2 linked regions of the Mus musculus genome follow. The main gene of each other region encodes a partner of the protein of the gene in region 2 in a complex. Links are inferred from orthologs where the notes say so. Each region holds a gene or a part of one and is shown on either strand. Other genes may lie near its edges. The genes, in order: Cd81 and Adgrg1.

What was found.
Region 1: Adgrg1 (region 2) and Cd81 share a complex: the UniProt entries of both Homo sapiens proteins name them as parts of the GPCR-tetraspanin complex. The link is inferred for Mus musculus from reciprocal best matches to the Homo sapiens genes ADGRG1 and CD81.

What each region holds. Positions count from the first base shown.
Region 1 is NC_000073.6:143,049,484-143,056,568, reverse strand, and holds the start of Cd81 (CD81 antigen), read right to left. Parts: upstream 3,820-7,085; 5' UTR 3,569-3,819; coding exon 3,503-3,568; exon of another isoform or gene 2,883-3,502; intron 1-2,882. UniProt on the Homo sapiens protein: Structural component of specialized membrane microdomains known as tetraspanin-enriched microdomains (TERMs), which act as platforms for receptor clustering and signaling.
Region 2 is NC_000074.6:94,974,346-94,981,237, reverse strand, and holds the start of Adgrg1 (adhesion G-protein coupled receptor G1 precursor), read right to left. Parts: upstream 4,130-6,892; 5' UTR 3,821-4,129; intron 1-3,820. UniProt on the Homo sapiens protein: Adhesion G-protein coupled receptor (aGPCR) for steroid hormone 17alpha-hydroxypregnenolone (17-OH), which is involved in cell adhesion and cell-cell interactions.

The sequences.
Region 1 (7,085 bases), on a different chromosome or scaffold from region 2:
CTACCTGGTTCCCTGGCATCAGGGCCAGAGCCACAGGTACCTTGACTTCTCCATAACTCTGCCCCACCCTACGCCCTCTCTTGTGTACAAGGATGATTGCTCTCTCCCTAGGGCAGCTGGACTCTAAGGCTAGAGGTTTAATAACTGAGGTTCCAATCCCCTTGGCAGGACTCTGGGTTCTGGAATCAAGGTTGGCAGTTGTTGGTTCCCTCCTAGAGCATCACAGAAGCTCCGTTTGAGGTAGGACTGAGCTAGAAGGCAAGTGCCGAGAGAATGCCTAAAGGGTTCGGAAAGAATGGGGGTGGGGGCTCTTATTATGAGGTCGCAGTGTGTGGGCACCAGAGTAGAGGCTGCCAGGTCTACTCCAGCTCTGTGCCCCCACTGTTCGGATGTCCTTTTTTTGAAGCCAGCCCAGGGATGAACCACAGACTTCCCCTTTGCAGGCCAATGATTGTCTTTCCCAAAGCCGGGCGGAGCAGACAGCCCCAGGAGCAAGGGGCAAGTCACAGGAAGTGCTCATTCCACCCTGAGCCCACAGAATTAGAGCCCCTCTGCCGGAAGGCAGCCAGCAGACCACTATGTGACAGACAGTCACGTATGTGTGTTGCTGAAGCGAGCACAACAGACAGTCATGTTCAGTCTGGAGAATTAAATGCCAGTTGAGAGGCTGTAATCAGCCTTTTGTGGTGGGTCTGGCTGCCTGGGCTACTGGACGGGGGCCACCAGCAGCCTTAGGCTGGAGGAACAGCCTGTTCTGTCGGGGAACACAGTGAAGATTCTTCTCCTTAACTGACTACTCCTATGGAGACATTGTCACACAAAGCTCCTACAGACCCACCCGAGGCCATAGGCTGGCACAGTGATAAACCATCCCCTGCTCTCCTGCCCTATTGCCAGCCGGTGACTATTGCCAGAGGAGACTGGACCCTTAATCCCAGACCTGTCTCAGGGGATGAGTAACCACCCTGCTTCTAAGAGCATCTTACATGGTCTCTGCTGCTCACCGCTCATCTTTCAGGTTTGTGTCCTGCCCCATATATCTTGGGAGTCCAGAACTCTGCTGGCCCCAATATAGGTTCTGAACTCAAGCCCAAGGAGGACTGGTGGGAGTGACAGCAGGCAGGTTAGTGTGCCCGGAATGTCCCCTCCCACAGAGAAACCACTTTAATCTTCAAACTGGAAATTTTAAAAAGTGTCCATCGAAACATTTACTGTCAACCAAATCTCCCTTCTTAGAGCTCTTAGCCCCCGCCCCCACCACGGCCCAAAGGACCTCTCAGCCCCCTCCTTAGGCCCTTCTGACATCATTGCTCAGCTTCCTTTGGCCCCACTCCCTTTTGGAGACTGTGTCCAGTGTCCATTTCCTGAGCCTTCTCTGCTCCAAGCCCCTTGCCCCACTCTGGAGTACATTAGCTAGTCTACACACAATCCTAGGAGACAGAGACCCCCAAGAACTCCCACTTTAGAGGGAGGAAGTGAAGACTAAGGGCCAGAGTGGTGGGGTGGGGCTCCCCAAAGGTTCAATTTCATGATATCAGGGAACTATCAGCCACAGTACAAACCTTGCCACACGAGGGACAAAAGGAGTCCCTCTGCCAGGGTGGTGTCCACCAGTTGTAGCCTGGTTCTGCTCCACATCCCTATCCACTGTGGGGCCAACATGAGTAGGGAGGAGAGGTCTGTGGGATTGTGAAAGGCTACAGTTTTCACTGTTCTGCAGTCAGTAGGCAGGTCCCTGGGAGCAGGGAGAGGCTTCAGAACCGTTTCCTGGAGCCTCAATAGAGACCCCAGGGACATGTTGGGACTCCACCCCAGCTGCCTGGGAAACGAGCAGCTTCACCCAGCCTCAGCACTCCAGGGAGTCTGAGGGTCTAGCGCTTGGATCAGGTGGGTGAGCAAAAAAAGAAAAAAAAGAAAGAAAGAAATACCCTACAGGATCCTGACATCCCACATCTGAAGAATAATGGGGGTGGGGTGGGGTGGATAACACACTTCTTGAGGGTGCATTCAATTCCTTGCATGGTTCAGAGTAGGCAAGCACTGTCCAACATGACTACCCAGTCGAGACCCCAAGGCATGCCCGGGCAGAGCAAGTTTAACCCCATCGCCCATGCTGCTCCCTAGAATGTGTTCTCTGGAGTCACCGTGACTGACAATCTTGGTCCCTGCAGCACCGCGTGAGCATACATAGCCCCAGCTGAGTTCAGCCCAGTTCCTGCCCATCCCCAACGTCTTATTCCCCTCCACCCCACCCTGACCCGCCCTGGGATCTTCAGCAGTCCTCGATGGAAAACAGGTGTCCCCTGTCCAACACACTCACTCCAGGGGCCGTTGTACAAGTTTGCCCTCTCAGGAACAACTTTAGAGAAACATTGTCTTGGCATAACCTCATTTCTTCCTGGGAAGGAGGGTGGTGGGAACAGCAGTCTGTGCACTGCAGCAGGGAGGGTGGCACCACTGTCCAGAGGAGTGGCCAGCACTGCTCACTCAAGTGCCCGCAGGCAGGTCTGTTAAGACTCCCCATTCCCAACCCAGTTAGGAAATGGAAAGAAGCCCATACCACCAATGGCTACTCCCCAGCAGTGAAGACAGTCAGGACCCAGGGACACTTGGAGACCCTCTTATACCCATGTCTCCTTTCCAAGATGACCAAATGGGTGTGCACTTCTTTCCAAAGTGGAGAGCCCAGCTTAGATCCTGTATATAGGAAAAGATCCTAAGCTCCTGGTTTGTACAGATCCCAGATCTTTGCAACACCCTGGCCTTCACCAACTCAGAACTGCATACCCTCTTCCTCTCAGGATCTAAGGGTCAGGCCGGGGCTGTAATCTGTGCAGGAGACGACAGGCAAGGAGGAGGGGCAGCTGGGGGAATGGGGGTGGGGGTGGCCAAGAACTGGGGCACCGTGCGCAGCAGCACGCGGCCCGGGCTGCCCTGCCTTCTAGGCCTGGAGCTCGAGCCCCCAGGGTGGCAATACCAAGCTGGAGGGTAAGCAAGGGTGGAGTAATAGTGGGGTTGAGGTCTCCGAGGCAAGTACGGAGCGTGCCCCCACCACTTCGAGGCCGCCTATCCAGGGGCGGTGGCTAGGATGAGCTCATGGGGGCGGGGCGCCAAGATCCCGCCCTTCTCGACCCCCCTCACTGCTCGCGATGCAGGATGGTCCCCAAAACAACATTCAGGAGGGTGCGAGTACCCCCTTCATAGCTGAGGGCTCTTGATTACCTGGCTCTAGCCCGCAGACTCTTGCACCAGTTCCCAGCACTCAGAGGGGACAGGCCAGCGATCCCCTGATTTCCCGGCCCCAGAAGCCCCTCGAGCCGAGGCCCAGAAGCTCAGCCCTCGGCCTCAACCCGCTGGCGAGGGGCGCCAGGACCCCGATCGGCGCACGGAGCCCACAGGTGGCGCCGCAACTTCGCGGTTGCGCTGCGCCTTCTCAGCAGGGCCTAGCGCGCTGCCCAGCCTGGCTACCGTGGGGTGCGCCCTGTCCCCAGTGGCTGCTCACCCAGAAGACGAAATTGAAGACGAAGAGCAGGTATTTGATGCATTTGGTGCAGCCCTCCACCCCCATGGCGGTGCGCGGCCTGCGGAGCTTGGATTGGTCCTGGAGCGGGCGGTATGGGGACGCAGTACCGGGGTCCGGGACTGGCAGATAGCCTGGAGCGCTTGCGGGCCGGAGAACTGCGTTGCGGAGAATGAGACGTAGGGTAGAGAAGGGCTGGAGGCCTAGCCGGAGGCGCGAGAGTCACTATCTCTTTGAAGCAAGGACGCGCTCGCTCGGACCGGGCGCGCGCGCCTAGCTCCTCACTCTTTATAGACCTCTAGGTCCCGCCCCTCCGAGGCCCCGCCCAGAGGACGCTCCACCCCTGGCCCCGCCTTCCGCCCGCGGGGTGCCCGGACCAGGGGTACTTGGGTGGGTGCTGCCACCTCAGTCCCAGAGTAAGCGTTCTGGAACTTGGTGCAGCTGGTTCTTGGGGACTCGGTGCACTGTGCGTGCGCAGGATGAATCTCCAAGTTTCTTAAGGGTTCCCAACCCTCGGGGCAGGCTTCTGGGTCGCGACTAAGAACTGGCCACAAGATACTGCCCCAAAGAAGCCACACTTACTTCCTCCGGTACTCGGACGCCTTGGACTTTCCCGGAGGGTACCCTAGTGGAGGTGTCTCGACAGTAAAGAGTCTTAAAAGTTAACATGTTTTGTGTATATTGATCTCCCAGGCAGCAACTCCGTGGGCCTGAAGGTCTAGAATGGAATTCTTTGTAGCCTTGCTAATCCCCTATCTCACAGATAGAGTTCCTGGCTGCAGTTCTGGAGGCTGCATTTGGGAAGGTCAATAGTGTACCCAATGTCTTTAGCCAGTCTTTAGGCTCGAGAACCCTCAGGGGCACCTTCAAATATTCATGCCATCCTGGCTGTGCCTTCCAAGAGTCCATCCTCCATCCTCTAGCTGGTTCCCTGAAAGCTGGGATTAATAAGGAAGTGAGGAAAGATTCAGAGGGCAGAGGTGCTTCCTTCCCGGGTGAGGAATGGCTGCTGTCATCATAGATGATATTCCTGTGAAATCTTGGCATTCCCTTCCCCAAACTGAAGGGCAATGGGGCTGCTTCATTAGACTCACTGGGAACCATGGAAGGACCAGTTCCCAAGACTCAGCCTTTTCCAGGTCACTCCATGTTCTTAAATCTTTGAGCAGTTAAGGACATTGTTCCCTATGGAGATCACACCTGGCACCCCTCTGGCTACAGGACACTGGAAATATGTTTAAAAAGGAATAGATATACATATATATTTAAACAAAGGAAAGGAATATCTATAATATATATGTGGAGAGAGAGACAGACAGACAGAGACAGACAGACAGACAGAGAATGAGAATCTCACAATGTAGCCCTGGTTCCTGGAACAGAGCTCTGTCTACTTTTGCTTCCTAAGTGCTGAGACTGTAGGTTTAGGACACCATGCCCAGTTGTCTAAAGGGCGAAAATTTGAACTATGTATAATTTACATGTAAACCTGATGATTGGCCAGTAGCTGCCTGGGTGGAGCTATCTCTACTCGGCTAGGCTAGTAGGCTTCTTGAGAGTTAATTTGTGCATTTGTTTTGGCTTCAGGCTGGTATAGCTGCTACAGTGAAGGATTGTGTCCACATTTATAGTTCTTGGAGGCTGAAGTGGTGTCACAACAAAAGTAACACTAGTCACCAAATGCTGGAGTAATATCACACTAAAAGTCATTTGAGTCTCCAGGAGGGAGTCTCTTAGGATTCTTTTTATTTAAAAGTGGGCAAGAATAGTTCTTGCACGTGCAGAGATGGGGACCTGCTTTCTCTTCAGATCTCCACTGTCTCCAGTGATGGGGATACCTCATGCCTAAAGTGGGGTTACACATTGAACGTCATGCAGGGCCAGCTGTTTTGTTTATGTACTGTGTGATACATCTGGGTTTAGTGAATGCCATTGTGTTCCTGGAACTGTTCCAAGGGCTATGGACAGCCTAGAAACCAAGGCTGCTTCTTTGGGGCCCTTAGGTTCTGGTCACATACATGCTATGGAGAGAGTTTCCATGATGTTTGACCAATCATGGTAGGGAATTTTTTTGTAAAGCAGTTTTCCTCCAAATTAAAACATCCCTTTCTGGAGGGAAAGTATTAAGACTCCGGAAATGAACAACTAACAAGTTTTAGACGTTCCTGAAACTAACAGGTCCCTTCCTCCCTAAAGATACATAATTAGGAAGACAGCCCATGCTTTGACCTATTCAAGTGCCATTCTCCAGGGTTCCAGCTTTTGTGAGCCATCACCTATGCTGAGGTTTTTGGTGACACAGCTCCCTTTGAGTTGTCTCTGATGCTGTAAGTAACCCCTCACCCATACTTTTGTAAGTAACCTAAATCAACTAATCGGTTTACCAAGTTGGACTTTGGTAGGAAGCTCTTGGATCAGGAACAGATATGGGCAGAAGGCCAGACAGGTCTGAGTTAGGTGGAAGGCAGACTTAGGCTGCATTCTGTTCCCATTGAAGGGGTTGGGGTAGGGAACAATCTCATAGGCCCAGGAGACTTGCTGAGATGACTGGTTGGTTGCAAGAGTACAAGGGGTGCCTTGCAGAGCCTGCACCTGTGAGCACTACATCTTAAGTGACTTGTCCAACATCCTGCCAGCTGGCCTTATAAGGACATGGGGGAACCAAGTAGGTACCCAGAGGGTGCATCAGAAAATGTCCCCGGCGGTTAGCTCAGCCTGAAAATATCTCTTTTCTGGCTTCCAAGAAAACAGTGATGAAGCTCAAGCCCAGGATGGGAAGTTTCTATTTGCTTTCCCTTGTCCAGCAGGTGTGGGAAGATGGGAAGAATGGGCCTTCCTAGCCAGGGCTTGTCTCACAATTCTCCTGTCTGTATGAACTTGTACTGGCTTCTCAGTTTCCCCAAGTGTGACAGAAATGCTGCAGAAAGTCTCTAAGTACAGAAGGTCAATGTGTCCTTGTTACTTGGAGCAGGGCCTGGCCTGTGGGAAAGTCAAGGTCAAGCTCTTTTTGGCTCAGTCCCAGAGTCTTGTGACTCACTCCACAGAGGAGTCCTGCTGTGTGCATTTGGCAGGAGGTAGGGGGATTTTGTTGTAGAACCATGGTTTCCTAAAATGAAGACTCCCCAACCTGGGCTGTTTATGTAGGGCTTGCTCTTGTAGGGTTTGTTGGCTGCCACCATCATCACTTCTGCTTGCTAGAAATTCATATGCAGGTCAGGGAGTAAGACAGCTGTGTATTGAAAGAGCTCAGCATCCAAAAACGGCCAAGCAATGCCAGACAAAACTCTTGTGAGCATCTCTAGAGTCACAGGAAATGCTGTCCTCTATTCTCCAAGCCCCACAACTCTCCTGATAAAATACTTCATTCAGCAGCAATAGAAGGGGCTCTGTCCTCCAGACCTGAGGACGAACTGAAGATCCATAAAAGTCTCGAGCCTGTTCTTCTCAAGGAAGACTGAAGGCTCCTCACCCACCAAGGTCAGAGACGTAACAAAGTGAAGCAAACAAGGCAGTCTTGGCATTTCTCCCCAGGGTTCTAGGAAGGATGATCCAGCAAGATGGAAAG
Region 2 (6,892 bases):
GGGGGGGTGTCCATGTGACTCAGCCACACTTACAAAGGCAGCTGTGTGCCAGCACTCAGGACAGCCTTCCCCACTGGGGGGCATCCCTTCCCCTAGCAAGGGAGGAGTCGGAAAAAAAAAAACGGTTGGTCCAAGAGGAGGGGAAACAGGGGCCTCTCTCTGCCATGAAAATGGGCTGGGCCTCATAGGGATTCAAGTCTGGGCTTGGGGTTCAAGGACAACATAGCAGATAATGTGGAATCAAGGCCCAGGACAAGATGTGAGCTGAGTCTGCCCAAGTCAAGTATGCCTGATTTCTGAGACCTTATTTGGAGTTCACTCTAGGTCCATGGGAATGGAGCCAAGCAGGTTCTGCCTAAATTTACCTGCCTCAGATTTCCAAAGCCCTAGGTTGCGGTCTGAGGCAAGTCCCATATCCTAGATGCTAGCAGAAATTCTTTAATCCCCCTCGTGGCCACAGCACTGTCCCTCTTCACCCCTTGTGCCAAATAGCAGTGGTAGACTTGTCATAAGCCATAGGAGTGGGTGGTGTTTTCCCCTACAGCCCTGCCAAGGGGTTTACACTAGGAGAGGGAAGGAGCCCCCTAGCCCAGTGTCATGGCTGGAACCAGGGTTTGACTTCCAGGACAGTTCCTTCCCCCAGGTCTCTCTTTCTGGCCCCAATGATGTTTGATGGCATGCCAACGAGAAGTGGTCTTGGTCCCCGGCATGGGCACACCACCTTTCTCCCTGTGCTCACCTCATTCCTGACTGCAGGGAAGAGACCAATCCAGTGTCTTGTTCCCTAGCCAAGTTCATGCTGGCTGCCTCCAAGGCCATCCCCCACTGACTGCCCTCAGAGGTGGGCATACCTGGTGCCCAGCTACCTGAGACAGGCAAACTGGTTAAGAACCGCCTGTTCATGTTGTGGCATGACGGAATGTCTGACCCTCAGTTTAGCCACCCCCGCTCCAAGAGCCCTCCAGTAAGAGGGCTGGATCCAGCCAGATCCTTGCTCAGAGAGTCACATGGGCCATGCCCCTGCCTCTCAGCATTCAGAAGCCCCTGTGCCCAAGGCAAAGATGAGCATCTTGAATAAGCCCTCACCAATCCTGTCACAAGTCTTGTGCCTGTTCTTCAGGATCCAGAGGCCTGGGGTCCTCCTGTGAGACCCTACCCATCTCTAAACAGAGGTCCCCTCTGCAGCCCAGGTGATCAGGGGGAGTTGTTATGATGAGGTCTTCCTCTCAGGGTGAAGACTTCCGCTCAGCCTCTTCAGGGTGTGACTCTCTGGCCTGTACTCTGCTCAGAAGCAGGCTGACCCACGGGAGCCACTGACTAAGCTTCCAAACCACTCTCCACGACACTCTAGTTCCTCCCAGTATAGCTCCAAAGCCCTCCATAACTGCCGTGAGAGTCTAGCATCAAATTGCTGGGCTTTGATCTTTCCGTGCCTCAGTGTTCTCATGTGTAAAAATGGGTACGGCACCCTCCTGACCACTGGGTTTGCTCTTGAGTGTGTGTTGAAATACATGAATGTGTGCATGTTTATGTGCAAATGGGGTGGAGGCCAGAAGTCAACCCTGTGTGTGTCTTCCTCCATCACTCTCCATCTTACGTGTTAAATGTTTTAAGAATTAGGTTGTGTGTCTGTGTCTGTGTCTGTGTGTGTGTGTGTGTGTGTGTGCGATAACTCACAGAAGTTGGTTCTCTCCTTGCCTCATGTGGGACCCAGAGGGATAACTCAGGTCATGAGACCTGAAAGAAAGTCCTTTAGCCTAAATATCTTGCTGGCCCTTCAAATTACTTTTGGAGACAGAGTCTCTCCCAAAGCCTGAAGCTCTCTGATTCAGCTAGACTTGCTGGAGACCCTCCTGTCTCTGCCTCTCTCGAGTACGAGCACAAACCACCAAGCTCAGCTTTTTACTGTGGCGCTGGGGAATCCAAACCCAGACCTTCATGCTTCCACAGCAAGCATGTTTGCCAGCTGAGTTATCTCCCTAGCCCCTTGAGGCTGCTCCTAAAATATCTCCAGTGTGCAGGAACAGAGGGACTTCGACCCTCCACAGAAGCCACCCTGCCTCAGCTAGAGAGCCAAGCATGGTCTGAGGTGACTAGCATTCCCCAAAAAGGCCATGTCAGCTGCTGCCAACTGTTTCACACTTGTGCCCGGTCTATGCCGCCCCTCCCCGGGTCCTGTCCTGAGGTTTGAGTGGAAGCTGCTCAGATACCAGAACTGGTCCAACTGTCTCTGATCAAGCAGAGAAGCATTATCTCCTCGGTACCAAGGCAGGCAAGGGAAGCCCAGAGAGGTTTAGGGACTACCCCACAAGACAGTACAGCCCCGTACGAAGAATGGGTAGGTCATTCCATCTTACGAAGAACACTATGCCAGGTCACTCACTGCCAGTCTCCAGGACCGGAATCTTGGTTGTGCCCTCATGTGCAACCACATCCCCTTCTCAATACATACACAGCACAGATGCGTTTGTGAGATGTTGGCTGGGGAGACTCACTTGGGAATTCACAGACACTCGTTTCCTCACCCAAAATCCCCCTAGACTGCCACCACCTCCTCCCCTTTTTCCCTCCCCCTTTTTCTTTCAATACAGCATCTCTCCACGTAGCCCAGGCTGGCCTGGAACTCAAAACCGATCTGCCTCATCCATCCTAGTGTGGCGATTACACCCCGCCCATCCCCAGCACTTCTCTTTTGATACAATAAAGAGCTGGAATCCTAAGTACTTTGTAGAAATCCCACAGAGCATGGGGCCCCCTAGCCCCGGAAGACCTTGCCCCCCCCCAACACCTCCTGCCTTCTGCATGCCCCTCTGCCCAGCTGCCAGGGAACCCCCCGGGGTCTCCCACTAAGTGCTGGGGTGCAGGTGGCGCAGGCGGCATAATGGAGTGATAACAGATGCTCATTAGCAGGGGCCCACCATGCAGCCCACACGCCTCAGGGAGTCAGACTGGCAGAGGCAAACAGCGGCGCCAGCCGCCCACCTTTGTCTGGTTGAGTGGGGGCTGTGAGCTAGGGCTGGGGGCTGGGCACTGGGGCTTTAGAAGCCATATATGATTTGACATCTGGGGGCCCGTCTATCTCCATCATGGTACAGCTAGGGACATGGGTCCAGCTGGAAGGAATGCCAGGGTCCCACCAGAGGCCATGGCAAGCCTGAACTTTTACCTATCTGGGTGCATCTTTGGGGTTACCATGTGGGGGAAGCAACTGGTAGGAGGTGTGCACTCTTGGGACCCCCTCTAGTGACTCTTGCAGACGGGGTGACAGACCTGGGCTGACAGGCATGGGGACCTGTGGCTGGCAGCAACAGAGAGACATATACATGAGCTCTATCTACCCTTTTGCTGGCTTACCAGGAAAGGCTGCCTGCCTCTTCCTCCTCAAAAGTCAAACAACCAAAGTGAGCTGCTGCTAAACCGGTCCCCCCACCCCCCGCCCTCCCCGCCCCCGTGGATCTCAGGAGGAAACTGCTTGGGAAGCACTAGGGACAAAGGGAAAAATGGGGTTCATGCCGCCAGTCCTCAACCACACGCCAGGGTCCAAGCTTCACTCTGGCCCTCGTGGCAGTGGTGCCCTTCTGAGCAAAGAGGGACACAGCTGGCCAACGTGTTCCAGTGCCCCCTCGTGAGCACGCCCAGCCCCACACTCTGAGCGGCAAGGAGTATCCTAGGACCAGCTAGAACCTCAAACTCAGTCGTTCCCTGGGAGATACGATCCAGCACACACTCGAGAACTCCCAAGCACTGCGCTAAACCTTAGACTAAGGTCAAGCGGGCCAGGCCAGGCGAAGTGCATGCCGTACCCGCTGCCCTCTCTTACCTCCGTCTCGCACTGTGAACAGCAGCGTCTTGCCTCCAAGCCTAGGCAGGCACTTCTGTTAACAGCCTTTGCTGCTAATGTCTCCTCCTCCTCCCAGGTGCCCAGCACCTAGTCTGAGCCTGTCTAGGCAGCTGTGAACTCAATCCAGGTGAGGCTCCGCCTACCCGGCTAGCTTCCGGTGCCAAGTGCCCTCTAAAACTCCTAGGTTTCCTAGCGAGGCTTGACAGAGTCTTCAGACTCCATGGACTTTGGGGATTTCTTCCCTAGACAGTAAAAGCTGCCCCGTGGGAGGCCGGGATCACGCTGTCTCTGGGCTTCAGAGACCCTTTTCAGGCTGTGGGAGGCAGGCCGCCACGCCCACACACACCTGCAAACTGCCAGCCCTTTGTGGCTTCTCCAGCCTCTTCAGACCATATCCTGTCTGCAGCGCCATTCACACCAGCCACAGGCTGGATACAGGAGGGCTCCGGGGCTGTGGGTGGGGCTCTCACAATATGTCCTGCTGGACTCAGGTGGGATCAGAGCAGGCAGAAGGTGAGGGGGCAGGAACTGGAGCTTTTTGCTAGGGATGGGAGGTGGCAGCTGCCCCAGGTATCTTGGAAGGGGGCCAAGGGGAGAAGTCCAGGCGAGCTCCACCAATGGAGAGAGGCCTCGTGCAGGCACTTCCTTCAGACCCTGCCACCCACCTCTCTTTCAATGCTCTTGCAATCAGGCACTAGTATGGGGGCGGGGTATGTGTGTGAGTCCTGATGCACACACCTAGCTCCCAACATAGAGACCTGCTGGCTGAGCCATACTTCCCTGAGGACGCCAATCCAAGCAGAAGCTGATCCTCTGAGCAAGGGGTATGAAACACTGTTGTGGGCCAGGCCCATGGGGTTGTCAGTCCCCTAGGATCTACCTCGCTTCCCTCCCCACCGGGCCCTCCCGCCATGTTTTTCCGCCACTGTGTTTCTTGCCCCTCAGGTCAATCCCCATGCTTGTCTTGTCTGCTTTTCCCCAGCAGTTACCAGAGCAGGGCCAGAATAGGGTCTGGTCTAGAGGGAAGATGTATGGCTAGTGAGTGGATAAGAAAAGATGGATGGATAGATAGATAGGTGGATGGACAGATGGACCAGCGGATGGATTCCGTCACATGTTTGTGGAAAGCCTGCTGTGATCCAGGCACTGTGCAGGGCATAGGAGCGACAGCTACAAGCCATATACTAAAATCCCTGCCCGCTCAAAGCTGCAGGGATACAGATCATAAATTTAATGAGCAATAAATATGAAATCTATCCAGAGCTATAGTAAGAATAATGGGGAGAAAATATGGTGAGGGGAGTTGATAAAGGAGCAGGGCTGGATTCACGGTGAGAAATGATGCTTGAGTGTAGACAGCATCCAAGGAGGCAGCCTACGGGGTACCAAGAGCAGAGCATTCTAGTGGATGGAAGAGTCTGTGCAAAGGCCCTGGGGTCGGTGATCCTGACTTTAGGGATGAGGAGGAGGAGGGTGCTCACTGCTGTGCAACTGAATGAAGGAACCAAAGACAGAGACGAGGCCACAGAGTTGAGAAGGATATCAAAAGGGAGCACCAGTCCCCTGAGATGACATAAGCACCTGTCTGCATAGGCCCCACTGGGACTCTCAATCCCGCCATAACCCCTTCCACGTGGGAACTTCTGGCTACAGGGTGGGCATGCAAACTTGCTCTGCCCAGCACAAACTGGATCTCTAGAACTGAGCAGATGGGGGTGGGGAGGAGCCAAGGAAGATGAATGTCAAAAAAAGGACCCAGAGAAAAAGCTTGACTACAGATCCCCATGGCCCCAGAGGCACTGTCTGCCCTGATAAGGACACAGGGGAGTGCCAGTGATTTCTTGTATCCCTAACTTGTGACACCCACACTTCACATCCTCTTCTATGTCCTCAGGGGCCTCGTCATGTGATATAGCTACCATTCTGTCACCTAATAGCAAGGACTGGTGCTAGAATCCCAGTCTTGAGCCCACTTTCACTGGGTTTCCTTGGAAAGGTTGCTTAACCTCTCTGTGCCGCAGGTCATATATCAAATGGGGACCCCTTCTTTTGCCCTGCTTGCCCTCCAATGATAACAAGAGTTGGAAAAGTAGTGAGCCCTGGCAGGGTAGGTAGGCACTGAGGAGCATTTGTGAGTCTGAAGGTATGGTCTCCTGGTGACCCAGACCATCCCCTAGTACAGTAGGTTAAGGAAATGAAATGTAACCAGAACCTATCCAAGTCTCAGACCTGCTACCTGCAGAGATGGATTGTAACCACCATAATCCGGGCAGCTAGACCTGAGCCAAATGTAAACTCTAGGTCACACCTGACTTCTCCTTCATCCTGGAGGGAGCAGCATCCTGGCCCTGAGGGGCAGGGTACACCCAAGCAAGTCAAGAGTCAGGCCCAGGAATAGGCTTGAAGTCACACCCAGGCAGCTGAACTCCAGAATCAGGCTTGTTCCCACCCATCACTGACGACAGAGAAAAGAATACAGAGCCCTCCCCTTCCTGGGTACCTCGTGAGAAGGTGAGGGAGTCCCCAGGTGTGTACCCCGTGTTTTCAAGCTTCCATGTTCCCTCTCAGAGCTGGTGGAGCCCACAAGGTCAGGGGGTGAGCTCCCCATCTCTGTGGAAAGCCATGGCTGAGCTCCTCTTGAACCTTGCGAAGGTGTTGGCTTCACCCACGGTGGCAGGTGTGAACTCAGGCAGGGCTTCTGACTGGGGCATTTTTCCCTAGTTCCTGTATTTATCCACTGAGCTAATATTTGCCTAGTAAGTCCTAGGTGCCTGGGCCTCTCTGGTTCAGAAAACAAACACCCTGTGGGGCGGGCAGTAGAAATGATGAGGTGGGGGTAGGGTGGGGTAAGGGGTGGGGGTGGGGATTGCTAGTTCAGACTGCCTGAAGCCCAGCCCCACCTGCTGTTCAGTCACCTCCCTCAGCCTCCTATGTGTGCACAGCAGGTGTTAGGGGCACCTTTCCAGGCTGTGAGGACTCCCTGAGAAGACACTCAGTCCCTCTCAATGGCTGACACATGTCTAAATACCCCATAAATGCTCCCCATCCCCA